Caenorhabditis elegans: one gene and its partners. The protein of the gene in region 2 interacts with the protein of the main gene of each other region in a pairwise test. Each region holds a gene or a part of one and is shown on either strand. Other genes may lie near its edges.

Region 1 (5,494 bases), on a different chromosome or scaffold from region 2:
ATGAAAAACAAACAATCGGCGAATGTTCAAGTTTATAGGACACCTTTTGCTGAAAGGGTTTGTTTTTTTTTTCAGAAAAATCAAAATTATTTTCAAAAAAAGAGGTTTATTCTAGTTGAACAGTGGCGATTCATCTTCAAAATTGTCGCCCCAATTATTCCAACGAATGGCTGATCTGCAAATCGTACCATTCGGCGATGCACTATTTAATCGAAAATTCTGGATGATGTCAAAAATTGTAGTCATTATGGTAATAGCTGATATTCTGTACGAAGTAACAAAAATTCTAACATTTTCTCACATTTCAGCCAAGTATCTGCAGTCAAATACACGAGTTACAATCTGATGGCATCGATTGGCTACTACAGGTATATTGTCCAAATAATTCATTTCTAAATACTTTATTTTCCAGATACGAGTAACAGATACATCAGTAAAAAATGTTATCTGCCGCGTTTCCACGAGCCTTCTAAATCGAATTTTTGGATTTGATGTTCAACAGTGCAAGGTTACAAAATTAATGTGCTATTCGTAAACCTTTTTTTTTCAGAATTTATTCAACAAAAATCAAGTCGAGGAGCTACGTGCGAAGAAATGCGAAGCCGAACGTAAACTTCTTGGATTCAAACGTCTTGATCTTCTTTTATGGGTTGAGGTTTCACCAGAGCGTAACCAAATTCCGCTCATTCTTGACGTGAAAACGATTTCTGATGCTCTCAATATTTTGTAATTATTTCTATTGCTTGCTACCTGAATTCACGTGTACCACAATATAGTCATGTATTATTTAATTGTTCTTGTTTTTTTGTTGTTTCCAAATACAATACAACTGTTTTAAGCTTTTTCTTTCGTTAAAATTTCTTTAAAACAGAAATGTAACAAAAAACATAAATTTAAACAAACTGTATGGAAAACTGTACAGTTTTCGATACAACGAGAGTTTGAAACTACAGTACTCTTTAAAGGGTCATGCCATTTTCGAATTCATCAAAAGTTCGTCGGGTCGAGACATACATACTACAGTAAGAAATGTAATATTCTCATAAAGCTCAAAACAATGTATTTATAACCCAATCAACAGCATTTAGACCGGACTATATTTTTCCTATCGGGATCTCCCTTTGTTTTGAAACAGACGATTAAAACTCAAAAAACGCAAAGTAAAATTGAAATTCGTTCATTTTGTTAATGATCGAAATATTTAGGTTACATCAGTATAAAAGGTTTGCATAAGGCAATAAAAATAACGTTATTTTACATGAAATGTTAGAATAGAATTATATGTCTAGTTCATAGACATCTGGGACACGTCACCCAAGAGAGTCCGTTGCTGCACGGCCGATCCGATGTTAGTACTGCGCATCTTTGAGGCGAATTCGATGCTTCTCTTGGACTCTGTCGCTTGCTCGTTGCATGGATTGAGATTGACCACAACCATAGTCTTCGAGTTGCCACGTCCCAAGCAGTCCATCAGCACTTGTGTCAGTTTGCTGTCGCGATATGAAACATGTCCCTTCTGGGATCTTTGCTGGCTGATGCACATCTGAAGGATAGACAACGACTGGTTGATATTAGTCATCTCCTTGAACTGGTCGCCACTGACACCAGACTCCTTGGCACGTTCGGATCCTGCGAGATCCACAAGTTTGAGCTGGCACGATGTTGAAATTCCTGTATATCAATATTGTGAATTAATTATTTTTATTTTCGAAAGTTACCAGTTGATGGCTGATGAGCTGTAATCTTCCACATATAAACGGCGTGCGAACGAGACGAGCTCTCATTGCACTTTGTCGCCGCCGTCTTCCTGCCACCGTCTGCTACACGAAGAAGTCTAGCCACATCCGAGACATTGGAAATCGTGTGCTCGGAGAGCCCAATCATGGAAACCGTTTGATCGTTCAAACGAAGTTGGACAACGGCGCGGTCACTGAGAAGGTCGTATGCCACGTTGTTGTAGACTTCTAGGAAAGACAACGAGAAGTCGAATTTCCATCCAAGTGACTCGAGCTTTCTGGATTCGGCGAACAGAAATGCAGCTGCTCTCGGGATGATTCCTTCCTCTTCACCATTTCCTCCTCGCATCGTGTGAGTTTTGCCACTTCCGGTTTGTCCATAGGCAATCAATCCGACGTTGTACCCATGCAGTGACGACTGAAATTATCAATTTTCAATTATTAATATTATATTTTGAAACTAACCCGAATGAACTCCTCGACGTTCGCGAACACTTCCTTCTGCGAGAAGACTGGCGTGAAAACCTTCTCGAATTTGACCACAATTCCAGGCTTCGAGCCTTCATTGATTCTGATGGTATCGATAGCCGGATACTCAATTGCAGAACTCGAGGCGTCGGCTTCAGATTTGATCAACGGCCGAACGCGAACAGCCACACGAATTTGACCGCGTAAATCGACAACATCGTTGTGCAACTTTCTCAACTCAGCTTCCTTTTCGTTGAGCAGATCCCGGAGATCGTTGTTGTGCACACGATAATCCTCGCACTCCTCCACTTTCGCCTTGTTGACTTCTTTCAGCGTGCTCAATTGATCTTGCAGTGAAATCAGCTTGCGATCCGCTCCTTCAAGTTTGCCATCCAGGATTTGGATCTTGCTCTTCTGATGTTCAGCAAAGTCGGTAGCCTCAGCCATCGCACTCTCGAGCTGCGCAATTTTCTCTTCAAGAAGCGCCATCTTAGAAGGGAGAATAGGCTTCTGTGCCACTGGTCGGGCTCTTGTCACCGACGGCTTCAGGGAAGAAGTCGCAGTTGAGCGTTGAGTGGATGGTGGCGGTGGACGACCTGTGCGAAGTTGTCGAAACGTAGAAGCTGCCGTCAGTGTGGAAATACGGCTCGCGGTGGATTGCATCGTTGGTATGGGACGGGAACACGACGCTGGTTTGGCCATCGCTGATCGTTCTGGCAACGATGCTCTACCAGTTGCAGGCGTTGTGGGGGTAGGCAAACGAGACGGAGGACGACGAGCAGCGGCTGAAAACTCGTAATTAAAGTAGTTGTTAACAAAAAAGGTTTTAAACAAAAACAAAAACATGTTTTATTTAGAAGTGTGAACACTTTGAAATCACGAGGAAGTTATTTAAAAACACAAATGACAAATTTACCTCCAATCGTTATTCCTCCAGGAGCCGACTGTCTTGGGATTGTTGTTGAATTGGCTTCTTTGGTGGATGGCGCGGCAGCACGTCCTCTTGTGATCTTCGGCGTTGCTCCGATAGTCGACCGAAACAGGCCACTTCTTCTTCGAGCGACATTCATCGCGAAATTTGGGACAAAAATGAGGAAATCAGCCCCTTCATTGACATTTTCCCGCTCAAAGTTGAACTCCGCCTCTGAAAATTCCCGCCAAATCGAATGGATTACCGTAGTCAACTACGGTATTAGATCAAAAATTTATATCATGTTGAGCTCATCCAGAATTGTCGGATATAATTATTTTGTTGTCAAAAGGCATAAAGAATGCCGTAAAAATTATTTATAACTATAACACAGAAGGCTTATCCATAATTGCACTGATATCAGGTTATACAAACAAATATATAAAATGCAGGTCTAGAAATTATAATGTGAGCGACACTCCGATATTCCGGTGCGCGCCTTGTTTACCGTATATCTACACCAAAGTAATTGCAAAAAAAAAATTTGAAAATATTTGCTTGCGAAAATTTTTATACACTTTCTTCAATATTTTGATTTTTCTGTGGTTTTTTAAAAATATAGGTTGGTAAATGATTGTTTCCAGATGACTTCTATCGATGTAACAGAGATTATCAAATCATCGACATCTTCTTTGTATCAGGTAAATTGATATTAAATTTTTTTGATTATAAATAGTTTACAGCCAGCAAGAAAGAAATCTCGTTTTGACGATAGTGCTTCTTCTTCATCTCAAGCTGGCCAGCCAAAACCAGAAGATATTCTTGCGGCTTTGGAAGCCGATCAATCAAATTATGTGGCTCTCGACGATGTGCAAGTTAAGAAACTTGTTATTCAACTTGACAAAAAGATGCGATTAAATCGAGAACAAAGAGTTAAAAATCCAGATGATGCTCAGAAATTCATGGAATCGGAAATTGAATTAGACAAGGCAATTCAAGAAATGCATAGTCTGGCTTCTCAACCAGACCTTTATGGATCGTTTGTTGAAGTCAACGGAGTTGAAATTCTTCTTCAATTATTAGGACACGAGAATACTGATATTGTGTGTGCAACACTTAGTCTCTTGAGAGAACTTACAGACGATGATGTGATGAACGAAGGAGAAGATGGAGCAGCTGAACTTATTGAAAGTCTTGTGTCTGGATCGATTATCACAACTTTGTTAGCATGCGTAGAGAGGCTCGATGAAAGCGTCAAAGATGAAGCGGATGGCGTCCATAATGCACTCGGAGTTGTGGACAATGTAAGAAAAATCGATATTTGAAAAACAAAACAATATATTTTCAGATGATTGGTTTCCGCGATGACATTACTGAAGAATGCGTAAAGCACGGATTCACGGTTTGGCTTCTGAAAAGATGCTTTCAGAAAGGTGCATTTGATGCGAATAAGATGTACGCTTCGGAACTTCTTTCAGTCATATTGCAGACTTCTGATACTGCAAAGGCAAAGCTGACAGAGAAAATTGATGGCATCGATATTTTATTGAGAGTGAGTAGCCAAACAAAGTATCAAGAATAAATTGAACTTTTAAGACCATTGCTGTGTACAAAAAGAACGATCCAGCAAATGTAGACGAACGAGAATACATGGAAAATCTATTCAACTCACTTTGTGCCGCACTTATGCATCCGGCTAATCGAAGTACGAATTTTTTTGAATATAAACACCAAAAAAATTGCTCTTGTTCAAAATAAATGTTTTCAGAAAAGTTCCTCGACGGAGAAGGTCTTCAATTGATGAATTTGATGCTCCGAGAGAAGAAACAAGCAAGACAAAGTGCTCTGAAAGTTCTGAACCATGCAACATCAGGAGACGAGGGAATCGAAAATTGCAATAAACTTGTCGAAATGCTCGGATTGAGAACAATTTTCCCGTTATTCATGAGAACACCTTCAAAGACAAAAAGAAAGGATACGACACCTGATGAACATGAAGAACACGTTTGTACGGTAAGATTTATGTTGTGATATTATTTTGAATGTTTTAGCTTCAAAATTGGACTGGTAAATCGGACTTTCGGTTTTTCTCCTTTTTTGAACAAAAATTGAGTTTTCAAATCTGCCTTGCACTTTTTGATACTTATCGAACATATAATTAAATTAAAAATCGAAAAATCTATTTCTACGAATTACATTTTACAAAAAGTGACTAATTTATATTGTAGGAAATGTTCTTTTGATGATAAATAATAATTTTTTAGATTCTCTCTTCACTGCTGGCAGCATGTTCGGAGAACCACCGTCAACGAATTGTTCAAAAATTTGTTGAGCACGAACATGAGAAAGTGGACAGAGCTGTGGAGCTATTTTTGAAGTA
Region 2 (8,800 bases):
AGACGAGCTGATTCAGCTGAAATGCAAGCAACCTGAAAATTAATTAATTCTTTACTTTTCCGGACTAGAAAGTCAAACCTTGCTGGTCCAGCTATCTTCTCTTGTTCCCTTGATACCAGAATTATCGATTGGATTCGGATTTTTATCTGCTTCCAGGAAGGATCTGAGCTCAGCATGCCATCCTGAAGCTACAATGTTCCACTCGGAAAGTGGAAGCTCAGAGGCACGTTTTTCAAATTCGCTGAAATTCAAAGTTATTTAAACTGAGAATTGAAAGCTACACTAACTTCACAATTTGTAATTCCATTTTCCGTGACTCTGGTCTCAATCCGAGACAAATGTGTCCGATTTGAAGAGCCATAGAATAATATTCATTGACATATTTTTCGTTTTCCTGTGCCCATATTCCAAAATCAACGAGAGCAGATTTCCCATTCGATGATTTTGTGACAGTCTGATGTTCTTCTGGGACATTAAGATCTTTGTACATGTTAGAAAGTTCTTCGTCAGACAGAAGTTTGTCACAGTCGACGTCCCAGATTCGTGCCAACTCTAAAACAACTTTTTAGTTTCTCAAAATAATTTCTTAAAAACTCACGAGAAATTCTCCCTGGTAGAGGTCCACGACAAAGAGCCGAAAGTGTACAAACGAGCTCTCTGAAGTCAATTTGACCATCTCGATTCTCATCGAAAACAGCGAATAATCTCTCAGCATAACTATCCGGGAAGCATCCACCCAATGCTTGTTTCCACTTCTCTTCATTCAGTTTGCAGACAGCTCGATCACTGATCGTGGCGAACACTTTCTCTAACTCGATAACCTCGTTCACGGATACTGAAAAATGGTTTTTGAAATACGGAAATCAAGATAATTTAAATCTTACAATGCGTCACATAAGACATCACTTCGTAAAATGAGATATAGGAATCATTGAGCGGAATCGTAAGCTTAGGAGGACTCAATCCCCATGACGCGAACTCGTGATATTCTTCGATAAACCCTGAAAATAAATAATTTAATATTATTTCTGAAATGTTTCTTGACTGACTCGATTGTACTTCTTCTACTCTACACAATCCAACAAGAGATGAAAGCAAATTGTCAAAGGAAATGGTTTCAGCGCCATGAGAGAAGAAGCTGAACAGCAGGCGTCGTTTTTCTTCTGGTATCTGCGCGCCTCCGAGAACATGATAGCAGAATTCCTTAAATGGTGAAGTTAAAAAAATAATTAAAAACAGTTACGTCATAATTAATGCATCCATTTTTGAAGCGTTGGAAAGCTTGGCGAATTCGTCGATACTCCTCGTCCGATACTAAAAATTTGAGTTTATGTTTGTTTTGTAACATCCCTGAAACTCACTATAAGTTTTAGCATCTTCCGCACTGATAATCGGTGCGATAGCGTTCGAACGTCCAGTTAACGTGTTACCCATTTCGGATTATGGCATTTGAGCATCTGAACCAGATTTTCTTGCCGAATCTGAAAGAAAAAATGTAAAAATCAATTTATTTGAAAAGAAAAGCATTTGTAAAAGTTTTTCAGTGGAGACCGACTTTAGAACGATTATGGAAAACAGTTTATTCCAATAAACCCCACGAAAAAACACGAATTGCGGGAAAAAATAAAAGACTTGTCGAGAACTGTCAAAAACCCTCGCGCAGTGAGACAGTGTGTGAACTTAAGAGACGCAGGGTGTATAATGCAAACTCGCTCTGTTGCGATTTCAGAATCACTTCGAAAAAATTTTTGCATTCGAAATCATTTCGCTCATTTTTTCATCTCGAGTTTGGTTGTAGAAGTTGTTCTCCCATTTTTTGTGTTATTCTTGCACATTTTCAGTCATAAATATGTACCTGTAACCTGATCAATCAATCAATGTCCGTCTAGTCGCATTAGCGTGCAATTTGAGTGTAGAGTAATTCCGATTTGGAAATCCTAAAGTACATTTTCAAGTAAATGCTATCTTTTTGGTTGTATGAAAACTTGTGACAGCTCTTAGCAGAATGTTCATGACAACCGCCTTTCATTCACTGCAAATTATTACTTGCTCATCGCTTCATCTATAACCGTCTCATCAATTGCAAGTTTCAGCTAAATGTTCGGCCAGAACAAATCATTCGGCTCATCGAGTTTTGGCGGTGGCAGCTCTGGGAGCGGTCTATTTGGACAAAACAACCAGAACAATCAAAACAAAGGATTGTTTGGTCAGCCAGCCAATAACAGTGGAACTACTGGCCTTTTCGGGGCGGCACAGAACAAGCCGGCAGGATCAATCTTCGGAGCGGCCAGCAACACTTCCAGCATATTCGGTATTTTGATCAATAATTGTATGCGTTTGATTTATTTTAATATTTTAGGAAGTCCGCAGCAGCCTCAGAACAACCAGAGTTCATTGTTCGGTGGAGGGCAGAACAATGCCAACAGAAGTATCTTTGGGTCAACTTCTTCAGCAGCTCCCGCAAGCAGTTCCCTATTCGGTAACAACGCTAACAATACTGGAACCAGCAGCATTTTTGGTTCCAATAATAATGCACCATCTGGTGGAGGTCTCTTTGGAGGTAAACAATTGATTTTCGATAAATAAATTAATCTTGTATCAGCTTCAGCATCGACCGTATCTGGAACCACTGTTAAGTTTGAGCCACCGATCAGTTCTGATACTATGATGAGAAATGGGACAACTCAGACAATTTCCACGAAGCACATGTGCATTTCTGCAATGTCGAAGTACGATGGAAAGAGTATTGAAGAGCTCCGAGTGGAGGATTACATTGCAAATAGAAAGGCTCCCGGAACAGGAACGACTTCCACTGGCGGTGGGCTTTTTGGAGCATCCAACACAACAAACCAAGCTGGAAGCAGTGGGCTTTTTGGATCAAGTAATGCTCAACAGAAGACTTCTCTGTTCGGGGGAGCTTCGACGTCATCTCCATTTGGTGGGAACACGAGCACAGCAAACACTGGAAGTTCATTGTTCGGTAACAACAACGCCAACACGTCTGCTGCAAGTGGATCTCTTTTCGGAGCTAAACCAGCGGGCTCGTCACTGTTCGGATCTACAGGTAAGAATAAATCTAGCATCAACACAATTTTTAACCTTAAACTTAGCTACAACAGGAGCTTCAACATTCGGTCAGACAACTGGATCGTCTCTTTTCGGCAATCAACAACCACAGACGAATACTGGTGGATCGTTGTTCGGGAATACACAGAATCAAAATCAATCTGGGTCCCTGTTCGGCAACACGGGGACGACTGGTACCGGACTCTTCGGCCAAGCTCAGCAACAACCACAGCAACAATCGAGTGGATTCAGTTTCGGAGGTGCCCCAGCGGTGAGTTAAGATATCCTAGAATTTCAATATTTTATTAATTTTCAGGCGACAAATGCTTTCGGTCAGCCGGCTGCTGCAAACACCGGTGGAAGTCTCTTCGGAAATACTTCGACAGCCAATACTGGCAGTTCGTTATTTGGTGCGAAGCCTGCAACAAGTACCGGCTTCACATTTGGAGCCACTCAGCCAACAACTACAAATGCCTTCGGTTCCACAAATACCGGAGGTGGATTGTTTGGAAACAATGCAGCAAAGCCAGGTGGTTTGTTCGGAAATACGACGAATACTGGAACAGGCGGCGGTCTCTTTGGTTCCCAGCCACAAGCTTCTTCAGGAGGACTGTTTGGTTCAAACACTCAAGCTACACAGCCGTTGAATACTGGATTCGGAAATCTTGCTCAACCGCAAATTGTAATGCAACAACAAGTGGCCCCGGTACCTGTGATTGGCGTTACGGCTGATGTCCTCCAGATGCAAGCAAACATGAAGTCATTGAAGTCGCAGTTGACAAATGCGCCGTATGGTGATTCACCACTACTCAAATACAATGCGAATCCAGAAATTGATGGGAAGTCTTCGCCGGCTAGTACTCAACGACAGCTGAGATTCCTTGCTGCGAAGAAAGGCGCTCTGTCATCGTCTTCTGATGCACAAGATTCGTCGTTTATCATTCCACCAATCAGCAAAGTGATGAGTGATCTTTCTCCAGCAGTTACCAGGTCAGCCGATGTCACCAAAGATTTGAACTACACTTCCAAAGAAGCGCCACCATCACTTGCTCGCGGACTTCGAAACAGCACATTCAATCCGAATATGTCGCTGACAAATCGAAGTGTTCACGAATCAAGTGCCCTCGACAAAACTATCGACTCAGCTCTGGATGCTTCCATGAATGGAACTTCAAATCGTCTTGGAGTTCGTGGATCCGTGAGAAGATCGAATTTGAAGCAGTTGGACATGTCTCTGCTCGCAGATTCTTCGAGAGTTGGAAGAGAATCCCGTGTAGCTGATCCAGATGCTCTTCCTCGAATCTCTGAATCCGAAAGACGTCAAGACGTTGTCACTTCCACTCCAGCAGTTGACCCCGTTCAGGCTGTAATCCAGAGACATAATGACAGAAATAGAGATCCACCATCGTTGAACTTGGATACGACATGCGATGAGCACACTGGCTTGGAGCCGGTGTCTGCTGCAACTAGTTCAGCAGCATCTGTTGTGTCGACGCCTTCTGAAGAAACTGTTAATGTCAATTCGGCAGCAGGAGTGAAGCTTACAAAGCCCGACTACTTTTCTCTTCCGACAATCAATGAGATGAAGAACATGATCAAGAACGGACGTGTTGTGTTGGAGGATGGATTGACAGTTGGAAGATCGTCGTACGGAAGTGTCTACTGGCCAGGACGAGTCGAGCTGAAAGATGTTGCTCTCGACGAGATTGTTGTATTTCGTCATCGCGAGGTGACGGTTTATCCGAATGAAGAAGAGAAAGCTCCAGAAGGTCAAGAACTGAATAGGCCAGCAGAAGTGACACTCGAAAGAGTATGGTACACTGATAAGAAGACCAAGAAAGAAGTGCGAGATGTCGTGAAACTCTCCGAGATTGGTTGGCGCGAGCATCTCGAGAGACAAACGATTCGGATGGGAGCCGCATTCAAAGATTTTCGTGCAGAAACTGGAAGCTGGGTCTTCCGTGTGGACCATTTCAGCAAGTATGGATTGGCCGACGATGATGAGCCAATGGATGGGTCCCCTCCACAGCAAGCACTACAGGCATCTTCTCCATTACAAGTGGTAAATTTTTAAAACTCATTTTACCCTTTTACACAAATAGTTTTCCAGATCGACATGAATACATCTGCTCGAGACGTGAACAATCAAGTGCAAAGAAAGAAGGTGCACAAGGCAACGGATGCTCACCATCAAGAGGTCCGTTTTGAATGATTGTCACTCACTATAATTCAATCATCACCGTATTTTAATTTTCCTTCTAAACGTTTTGCTGTTTCATTTAAAAATTTTCTGCTTTCATTCTTAGCATTTCACATGACTGCTTGCCAATACCATCTAGGGCAGGCTAAAGACTCAAATTATTCTCGTTTATTCTTTTCTAACTCAATAAATTTGTTTTTAAAATTAGCCTCTTCAAATGGTATTGGTAGACAGACCGTTTAGGGTTTAATATGGAGAGCCATCAGCAGTTATTTGTTTCAGATAATTCTGGAACGAGTTCCGGCACCTGCTGCATTAGGTGATGTTGTGCCGATCATTCGTCGTGTTAACCGAAAAGGTCTTGGTGGTGGAACATTGGATGATAGTCGAGAAGAATCATGCATCGGAAATATGACCACCGAATTCAATGAAAGTGGTCATGATTCAATTATTGAAGAAGGTCAGCAGCCGGAAAAGAAGCCGAAACTTGAACTTCTCGCTGATTTGGAATACGAAAGCAGTCGATTCATTCGCAATCTCCAGGAACTGAAAGTCATGCCGAAGGCCAACGACCCAGCTCATCGGTTCCACGGTGGTGGACACTCTGCTAAAATGATTGGATATGGAAAGAGCAAACTGATTGATATAGGAATTGTGAAGGGAAGAAGTTCACATGTCGGATGGAGTGAAACTGGATGTCTTGTGTGGTCAGCTCAACCCCGACACAATCAAGTACTCTTTGGGACAATTGATAGAACATCGGACGTGAATGAGGTAATATTTGTGACTTTATAAAAGCCCTTCTGTGATTTACAGTCTATTTGTCAATTGGATTTCTAAGTACTTTTTTACACCGTTCTCTTCTATGGCCCATTTTTAATTTAATCAATTTTCAGAACACGCTAATCTCAATGCTTGATGTGAATGTTCATGTATCTGAAACCAGTCGCAAGGGTCCATCTTCACAATCCAACTCGGTTAAATCTTCGCTCACTTCTAACTTCGTCACTTATTCTGACTCATATTCATCCATGTTTGCCAAGTACATCGATGTCGCTCAAGCTGGTGGATATGATGGACATGTTTCTGTTTGGAAGTTGATATCTGCTCTATTCCCATATGAACGTCGAGAAGGATGGTCTTTCGAGCGTGGTGAAGAAATTGGAGAATGGCTTAGAACAGAAGCAGTGAAGTCTGTTCCAGACGATAGAAGTGCGGATACATCTTCAAATGGTGTTTGGAATCAACTCTGTCTTGGAGACATCGATAAAGCTTTTCAAATTGCGATTGATAATAATCAGCCACAGCTTGCTACGATGCTTCAGACTTCTGCTGTGTGCCCAGAAGCTACTGTTCATTGCTTTAAAGCACAACTTGACAACTGGAAGAAATGCGAAACTCTTCATTTGATTCCGAAGGAAACTCTCAAATGCTATGTTCTGATGTCAGGACTATCACACTACGAATGGGATCAAGACGGAAAGAATCATTCGATCAACTGTCTTGATGGACTCAATTGGATTCAAGCACTCGGTTTGCATGTCTGGTATCTTCGTGCATGGACTGGTCTAGAAGAATCTTACGATGCTTATCAGAAAGATGTCAATGCTGGCCGTGCCGCTTCTAATCGTGGAGATCTGCCCGGAGAACTCATCAAATTGGCATGTGAATCACAGCACTCAGTGGAAGTTGTACTTGACTGTGCAGCTGGAGAAAATCCCAACGATTATTTCCTTCAATGGCACGTATGGAGCTTGCTCTATTCGGTTGGATACCGTACAATGTCAAAGACTTCGGAAACAAGACTTCACAGAAACTATTCATCTCAATTGGAAGCATCAAGTCTCTCAAAATATGCATTGTTTGTTTTGCAGCACATTGATGATGATGAAGAGTGAGTTGAATTTTAGAATCTTTCAATTTATAAATATATTTATCCAGAAGATCAACAGCAGTTCGTTCCCTCCTCGACCGTATTGCTCGTTTCACCGACAATGATATGTTTGATTCTATTTCCGAACAGTTCGATATTCCTTCGGAATGGATTGCTGATGCTCAATTCTCAATTGCAAAGTCAGTCGATGATTCTACCCAACTTTTCGAATTGGCTGTGGCTGCAAAGAACTATCTGGAAATTTGTCGCTTATTTGTGGATGATATTGCACCAACTGCAGTTGTAGCTGGAGATCATGACGCTCTCAAAGCAGCATGCGCGATGGTTCGTCCTTTCGAAAATCAGATTCCCGAGTGGGGTGCGACTGGAATGGTCTACACTGATTATTGCCGATTGATCAATTTGATCGAAAATGATGCGGAAGAAGAACTCTTACAGGACGTGCTTGAAAGTCTGGAAACTCGTCTACATGCTCCTACAATCAGCAAGAACAGTCTTCAAAAGTAAGCTATTGGGACATAAGTTTTTTTTAAAACTATTTATATAATTTCAGGCTCTCTCTTCAAACAATTGGACGTGTTTTGTTCGAGTACCGTGCTGATAAGAATACACTTCCAGAGTGGACAAAGCTTCTCGGACATCGGCAAATGTTTAAGATCTTCCGTGATCGTTCGTCTTGGGGAATCGAAAGATTCACAATTGAATTTGACTAGACTAGCCACTTTTTAATTTATTCATTTTTCACCTGATTCTAATTTTATTTTTTTTATTTACATTTTCCTGCCCTCTCCGTCTGTCTTCCTCGTATATCATCATTTCCCGAATCGTCTTTTTATTACTATGAATATGAACTTTTTGTAGGATGTTATTACTGTTGTGTTCTATTCACATGAGAAAACTAGTACAGAAATTTAGAAATCAGCAAAACGATAAATTGAGTACTCGAATTTAATTTAAAATTCAATTTCCGACCACGCGATGATGTTAATCTAGTACATCTTGATAAAAGTTGCTAAATAAATGGAAAGTTTTCTTGAATAATTCAGTCTGGCGGATTTAGCCAGTAGGAATGATCGTTTCTTAATTGGAGTGGTTCGCTTCGTTTTACGAGGTAGAGCAATTCGGGAGGCCCCACGAAAAGGGGAGCAGAACGAAAAGGGGATCTGCAAAAAGGGGATCTGCGAAAAGGGGAGATACGAAAAGGGGAGCAACGAAAAGGGGATCTGGCACTGTGCCAAACGCTATTTTCCTCGAAGAAAACGATACAACGATGCTCCGATGTTACGCGTCGCGTGTTGTTAAGCGTATCTTCTAGAAGAAAATTTCAAAAATCAACGTGCGCTGCGTGAGAAAAATTGCGTTTTGTGCGTTTGGCACAGTGCCAGCTCCCCTTTTCGTTGCTCCCCTTTTCGCAGATCCCCTTTTTGCAGATCCCCTTTTCGTTCTGCTCCCCTTTTCGTGGGGCCTCCAATTCGGTTATAGCTTATGCTTAGACTTAAAATTAAGCGTAGGCTTATGTTGATCTTCAGTTTTTTTTTTTTCAAAAAAGTTGTCCAAGAGTAATACCTTCAACGGACATTCAGCTTGTTTGACGAAACTAAGAGAATTCAATTTTGGTCCCTGCTCTGAATATCATTTGA
Region 3 (4,445 bases), on a different chromosome or scaffold from region 2:
AAAATGTTAATTTTCATAAGAAATGTGGTAGTCAAGGGTGTCACTTGATTTTCCGAAAAAAAGTATCAAAAAGAACATTAACAAATTAAATTTAGTTTTTATAAGGTAATGTTATTTTCTTCTAAAATAAGGAAAAATGATATTTTTTTGAAGTATCGGGAAAACGAAAAACCCACACACCCTTGATGCGAGAAACTGTGGTTTACCGTCTTATTCTTGAAGCGATTTGGTGGCCTTCATGTGCTCGATGATAATTTTCTTCCTCTTCGTCATCCTCTTCATCTTCATCACTCATCTCAGAATCGACATCTTCTTCGACATTAAAAAATACAGATCGATGGCTTGTTGGTACTCTGAAGAACTATATATTTCCAATATGCTCAAACAAAAATAAGTTAGAACTCACCTTACGTGTTGTGATGCATTTCTATTATCTATTCTGTCAGTTTCTCTTGGTGCAGAATATGTAGCATCATCGGAAAATTCTTCCTCTTCTTCATCCATCATTTCTTCATCGTCATTATCGCTGTCCAAATCCCAATTCCCTCCACCATTCGGAAAATCAGGCCTTTCACCTTCATTTTGCCGATTTTCCTGCTCTTGAATTCTACGTGCTAGCTCATAGTCTTCCATTTGTTGTTCATATCGCCTGAATGCTCGTCTTTGCTCTTCCACATCAACTTCAGGAAAACCTTTTATCCTATGTTGACGAGATCCACGCATTGGATCCATCCAACTTGTTGACTGAAATATCAAAATTTGAAATTTTAGAGAATGCTAATACAAATAACAAAATATTAAAAAGGAATAGTTACACCTTTAAAAAAGTGTCAGAATATCGACGATCATTTGATTTATCTCAAATAACAATTTTTCTGCTGAAATATTTTCGAAAAATTGCTCAAAATGGGCGGCAAGTTGGTGATTGTCGAAAAACAAGCTCGATAATTCTTCAATACGATAATCAAATTTCAGGCTATTTTGGGCATTTTTTCCAAAACTTCAGCTGAAAATAAAGATATTTTCAGATAAATCAAGCGATTGTATATATTTCGGCACATTTTGCTAATGAACTGGAACAGTAAAAAATCACCGCAAACAACGAAGAAAATATGTTAGAAGTATCATGACTAAAACATAAGTTGAGAAGACATCAATATTCGAAAATATATATACATGCATTCATTTTTTTGTGAGATTGGATTAAAAAATAGGCAAATAAAAAAAAACAGGCAATCTCCGATAATATAGTAATCTTAACGATTTTACAAGCAATATAGGTGAGTTATATGGCACAAAACAATATGAGTTAAAGGGAATTTACAAATTATTTGGAAGTTATTCGGCGCTTGGATCGACGAAGAGAAGACTGTTTTCTCACAGAAATCACAGACATCTTCGATACGTCCGGCTTTCTTGCCCATTTTCGACGACAAAGCGGGCACGATGGTTTGGACGAACTGCGATACCAAATATCGACACATCTGAAAATTATATTTATGTTAATGTCGACAAAAACTGCTACAATTACTCTTCACATCCAATAATCTGTAGACAATTGTTGCATCCAAGCGGCGAAACCGGAACCTCGAAGCACATTGTACACTCTCCGTGGGAGCCGTCTTGATTGCGTCGTCTGGGATGTCGATCTGTGATTCCGGTAGATGTGCTCGGCCCTTCAAAGTCTATGGGAACGTGCTCCTGGTCATATGTTCTCGCATCATCGCCAATAAATGATTGATCGTTAGTGTTCGTTGGTGACGAATGATTTCCCGAGTCACCGCTGGTTCCACTACTGCTACTTGAAAGGTTTTCAAACTCGATTTCAAGGATGGGAGAAACTGCTCGACCCCTTCTTCTACGAATCGGTGTAATCGGTAGATTGGTTTGAGCAGTCGCTGACATTCTGATTGAGATTCTTGCAGAACTCCGACGTCTCAAGCCCAACAATCCTGTAGAAAAAATCGTAATCTCTGGCGATGTGGGTGATGCACGCTCTTGAGAAGATGATTCTGGTTGCTGAACAGTAGGAGGTACCTCTGGCTGTGTATTGGGTGCTGCCGGGATTTGATTTGCAGGATTATGTATGCGTCGGCTAATATCTCCAAATCTCTCCTGTTCAGGGTTTGCATATCTCCGACGTCTCAAAACGGAAACCGGGCTCGCATTGGGCGATGCTTGTGGTTGCTGAACTGGCGGAGGTACTGGAACTGGCGGTGTGTTGGGCGCTGCCGGGACTTGATTTGCATCATTATTTATATGTTGGACATCGTGATCATGAATAAGTTGTGCAAAAGCTTGATCGTTCATCTGCTGCTCAAACATCTCTAACGCTCGCCTGTAAAATAATCAGGTACCGAATAGGAATACTATTCACAGTCAAACCTTTGTTGTTCCAAATCGACTTCTGAGAACGAAAAGTTCAACAACGATGAACGCCGTCGCCGAGACCTGCGTGCTGGTGATGGCATTCCGTTTGAGTCTGGAAGAGAAGAGAATAATTGCTTTCAAAATCTTAAGCTGCGCTTGAAACAGAAAGTCTAGAAAGCATTAAGAATGATTTAAATGAAAAAAAAATGACGGTTTCTCAATTGAAAATGTTTTTAGAATCTGTAAAAATGCGAAACTAAGGCGCGAGAAAAATAGAACAAAACATGAAATTTCATGAAACGAAAAGGGCAAACTTGGTAATCGCTGCGAGACCCACGACTCATCTAATGTGGTTACTGTATTCGAGAAATTTTTATTTCTTTTTCGTTTTTTTGTTGCAATTTCTGAACAAATTCGTTCTCAATAAGAATAATTCCATAGAAAATAAATTAATTATTTTTTATTAAAAAACCCCGTAAGAAAAACAAGAAAATCAAATAGATAACTGTAAAATCCTAGAACATGAACCGTTGCTTGACGCCAGGTTCGTTGGACCATTCGAACGTTTTAAATAAGAATAAAACAAAAACTGCCGCAAAAATCACAGCTTGAGATATAATTTCCAAGAAGAGAAGTGATTTTCTAGAGTTATTTACAGTCGAAAGTCTCCAGAGAACATAAGGAATAATATAATATCGCATTTCGAATAGATGAGCTGGAACCAAAACGAGTAAAGATGCGATTATAAATAGAATTTTGTGGAATATATGCACGGACGGTGTCGATGTCGTCATAAATCTTAAAGAAAACACGTAGAGAGGAGCAAGAGTTGTCCGCATTGTGGGATTTGCCAAGAATCGCCTCCAGATGTAGAATGTGAAATGCCGATTATCAGCGAGAAGATACGGGTGATCATAAGAATAGTAGTAGACAAGAACTGCCACAACTGCTTGTAGAACTAATGATTTCATGTCGGTTAGGTGTCGAAGGTGAGATAACAGATTTGGGATGATTTGAGTCCAAGTGTGAGCCGCGCAGAATGCAACCATGTAGAAAAATTGAGCCACGTGGAACTTTGGTTGGTGAGCTTTTGCATCTCCAAGGACAATTTGGAAATCATTGAAATATATAAACATCGCAAATCCAATTGCAAGTGTAATGAATGGCCATAGAGAAAATGCAGTTGAAATTATGATCTTAAGATTTTCCATTTTTGAGCGGGACTTGTCAATTCTTGAAGCAATTACAGAGAACGCGTATATCGCTGCCCAAATGATATTTGTCTGGCGTGTCAGTATTGAGATTAGGAATAAGAACGCAGATGCAATTGGGTTTCTGAAATATCACATCATTATTTTCAATAGATGCATTGATTTACCCGATCGAAAATCCCCAAATAACTGAAGTGAGTGACAACAAATCGGTATAAAAAAGAATTGAAGACGATATCAAAATTGGAAGCATTCCGACGATTGATGCAGTCAGCCATACATCTTGCTGCAAATCGGTATTTTTCAAATAAATCTTCAAAGTTGGAATTCTTACTCTAACGAACATTCTCCGAAAACGGCAAAATGCTGGTATAGCGAAAAATAGAAGAATCGAGTTAGCGTATCTTTCATTTCCACCACATAATGGCATTGAAATAACATAAAGTGCCGGTGGAGTTGTAATTAATGGATTCCAGCTGTAATTTCCTGAGCAATATGATCTAGTTTGAGCTGAAAATTAGGGAAATTGTAGACAGAATCTCGACAATTGTGTCTCACTAATGTGGAAGATCTCATCCATATACGGCTCTGGAACATAGTGGTAGACAATTGTTGTCAGCAGAACGTGAATGCAAGAAAACGAAGCACCAAGTAGAAAATCGCCTAAACTTGAGAAAATTGGTTAAATGAATTTTTAACTCCAGCAAATATTCATTCACTTTTCCTGGATATTGCGGCAAATGGCAGGCTTATTCGGGGCGGTTTCGATTTTGTCATCTGAAAGTAAATAAATTGTTCTTCAGTATATTTATTTATTTATTTTCTATTAGATTTAAAAATATATTGAAAATAAAAGCTTAAAGC

What was found.
Region 1: the proteins of npp-10 (region 2) and klp-15 interact in a two-hybrid assay, tested with the Caenorhabditis elegans proteins (one large-scale study listed by BioGRID).
Region 3: the proteins of npp-10 (region 2) and T24D1.3 interact in a two-hybrid assay, tested with the Caenorhabditis elegans proteins (one large-scale study listed by BioGRID).

What each region holds. Positions count from the first base shown.
Region 1 is NC_003279.8:5,575,908-5,581,401, forward strand, and holds klp-15 (Kinesin motor domain-containing protein), read right to left. Parts: upstream 3,288-5,494; 5' UTR 3,275-3,287; coding exon 3,121-3,274; intron 2,990-3,120; coding exon 2,202-2,989; intron 2,155-2,201; coding exon 1,719-2,154; intron 1,672-1,718; coding exon 1,286-1,671; 3' UTR 1,163-1,285; downstream 1-1,162. Other genes in the region: rmh-1 (RecQ-mediated genome instability protein 1 homolog), read left to right, coding at 1-57, 116-250, 309-368, 413-508, 551-730; ctnb-1 (Beta-catenin-like protein 1 N-terminal domain-containing protein), read left to right, coding at 3,759-3,815, 3,858-4,418, 4,463-4,666, 4,711-4,819, 4,883-5,127, 5,379-5,494.
Region 2 is NC_003281.10:6,012,846-6,021,645, reverse strand, and holds npp-10 (Nuclear pore complex protein Nup98), read left to right. Parts: upstream 1-2,083; 5' UTR 2,084-2,097; coding exon 2,098-2,311; intron 2,312-2,359; coding exon 2,360-2,560; intron 2,561-2,602; coding exon of another isoform or gene 2,603-2,608; coding exon 2,609-3,064; intron 3,065-3,110; coding exon 3,111-3,337; intron 3,338-3,382; coding exon 3,383-5,128; intron 5,129-5,176; coding exon 5,177-5,263; coding exon of another isoform or gene 5,264-5,278; exon of another isoform or gene 5,279-5,473; intron 5,474-5,548; coding exon 5,549-6,040; intron 6,041-6,162; coding exon 6,163-7,160; intron 7,161-7,207; coding exon 7,208-7,663; intron 7,664-7,713; coding exon 7,714-7,873; 3' UTR 7,874-8,199; downstream 8,200-8,800. Other genes in the region: Ubiquitin carboxyl-terminal hydrolase cyk-3, read right to left, coding at 1-32, 79-241, 288-552, 599-835, 885-1,001, 1,050-1,203, 1,244-1,314, 1,362-1,434. UniProt on the Caenorhabditis elegans protein: Nup98 and Nup96 play a role in the bidirectional transport across the nucleoporin complex (NPC). Required for the nuclear import of hcp-4 during mitotic prophase, this step is essential for centrosome assembly and resolution.
Region 3 is NC_003279.8:9,957,614-9,962,058, forward strand, and holds T24D1.3 (RING-type domain-containing protein), read right to left. Parts: upstream 2,483-4,445; 5' UTR 2,472-2,482; coding exon 2,386-2,471; intron 2,339-2,385; coding exon 1,532-2,338; intron 1,485-1,531; coding exon 1,328-1,484; 3' UTR 1,169-1,327; downstream 1-1,168. Other genes in the region: har-2 (RING-type domain-containing protein), read right to left, coding at 207-353, 407-732; algn-10 (Dol-P-Glc:Glc(2)Man(9)GlcNAc(2)-PP-Dol alpha-1,2-glucosyltransferase), read right to left, coding at 2,886-3,705, 3,749-3,867, 3,916-4,091, 4,140-4,244, 4,301-4,358.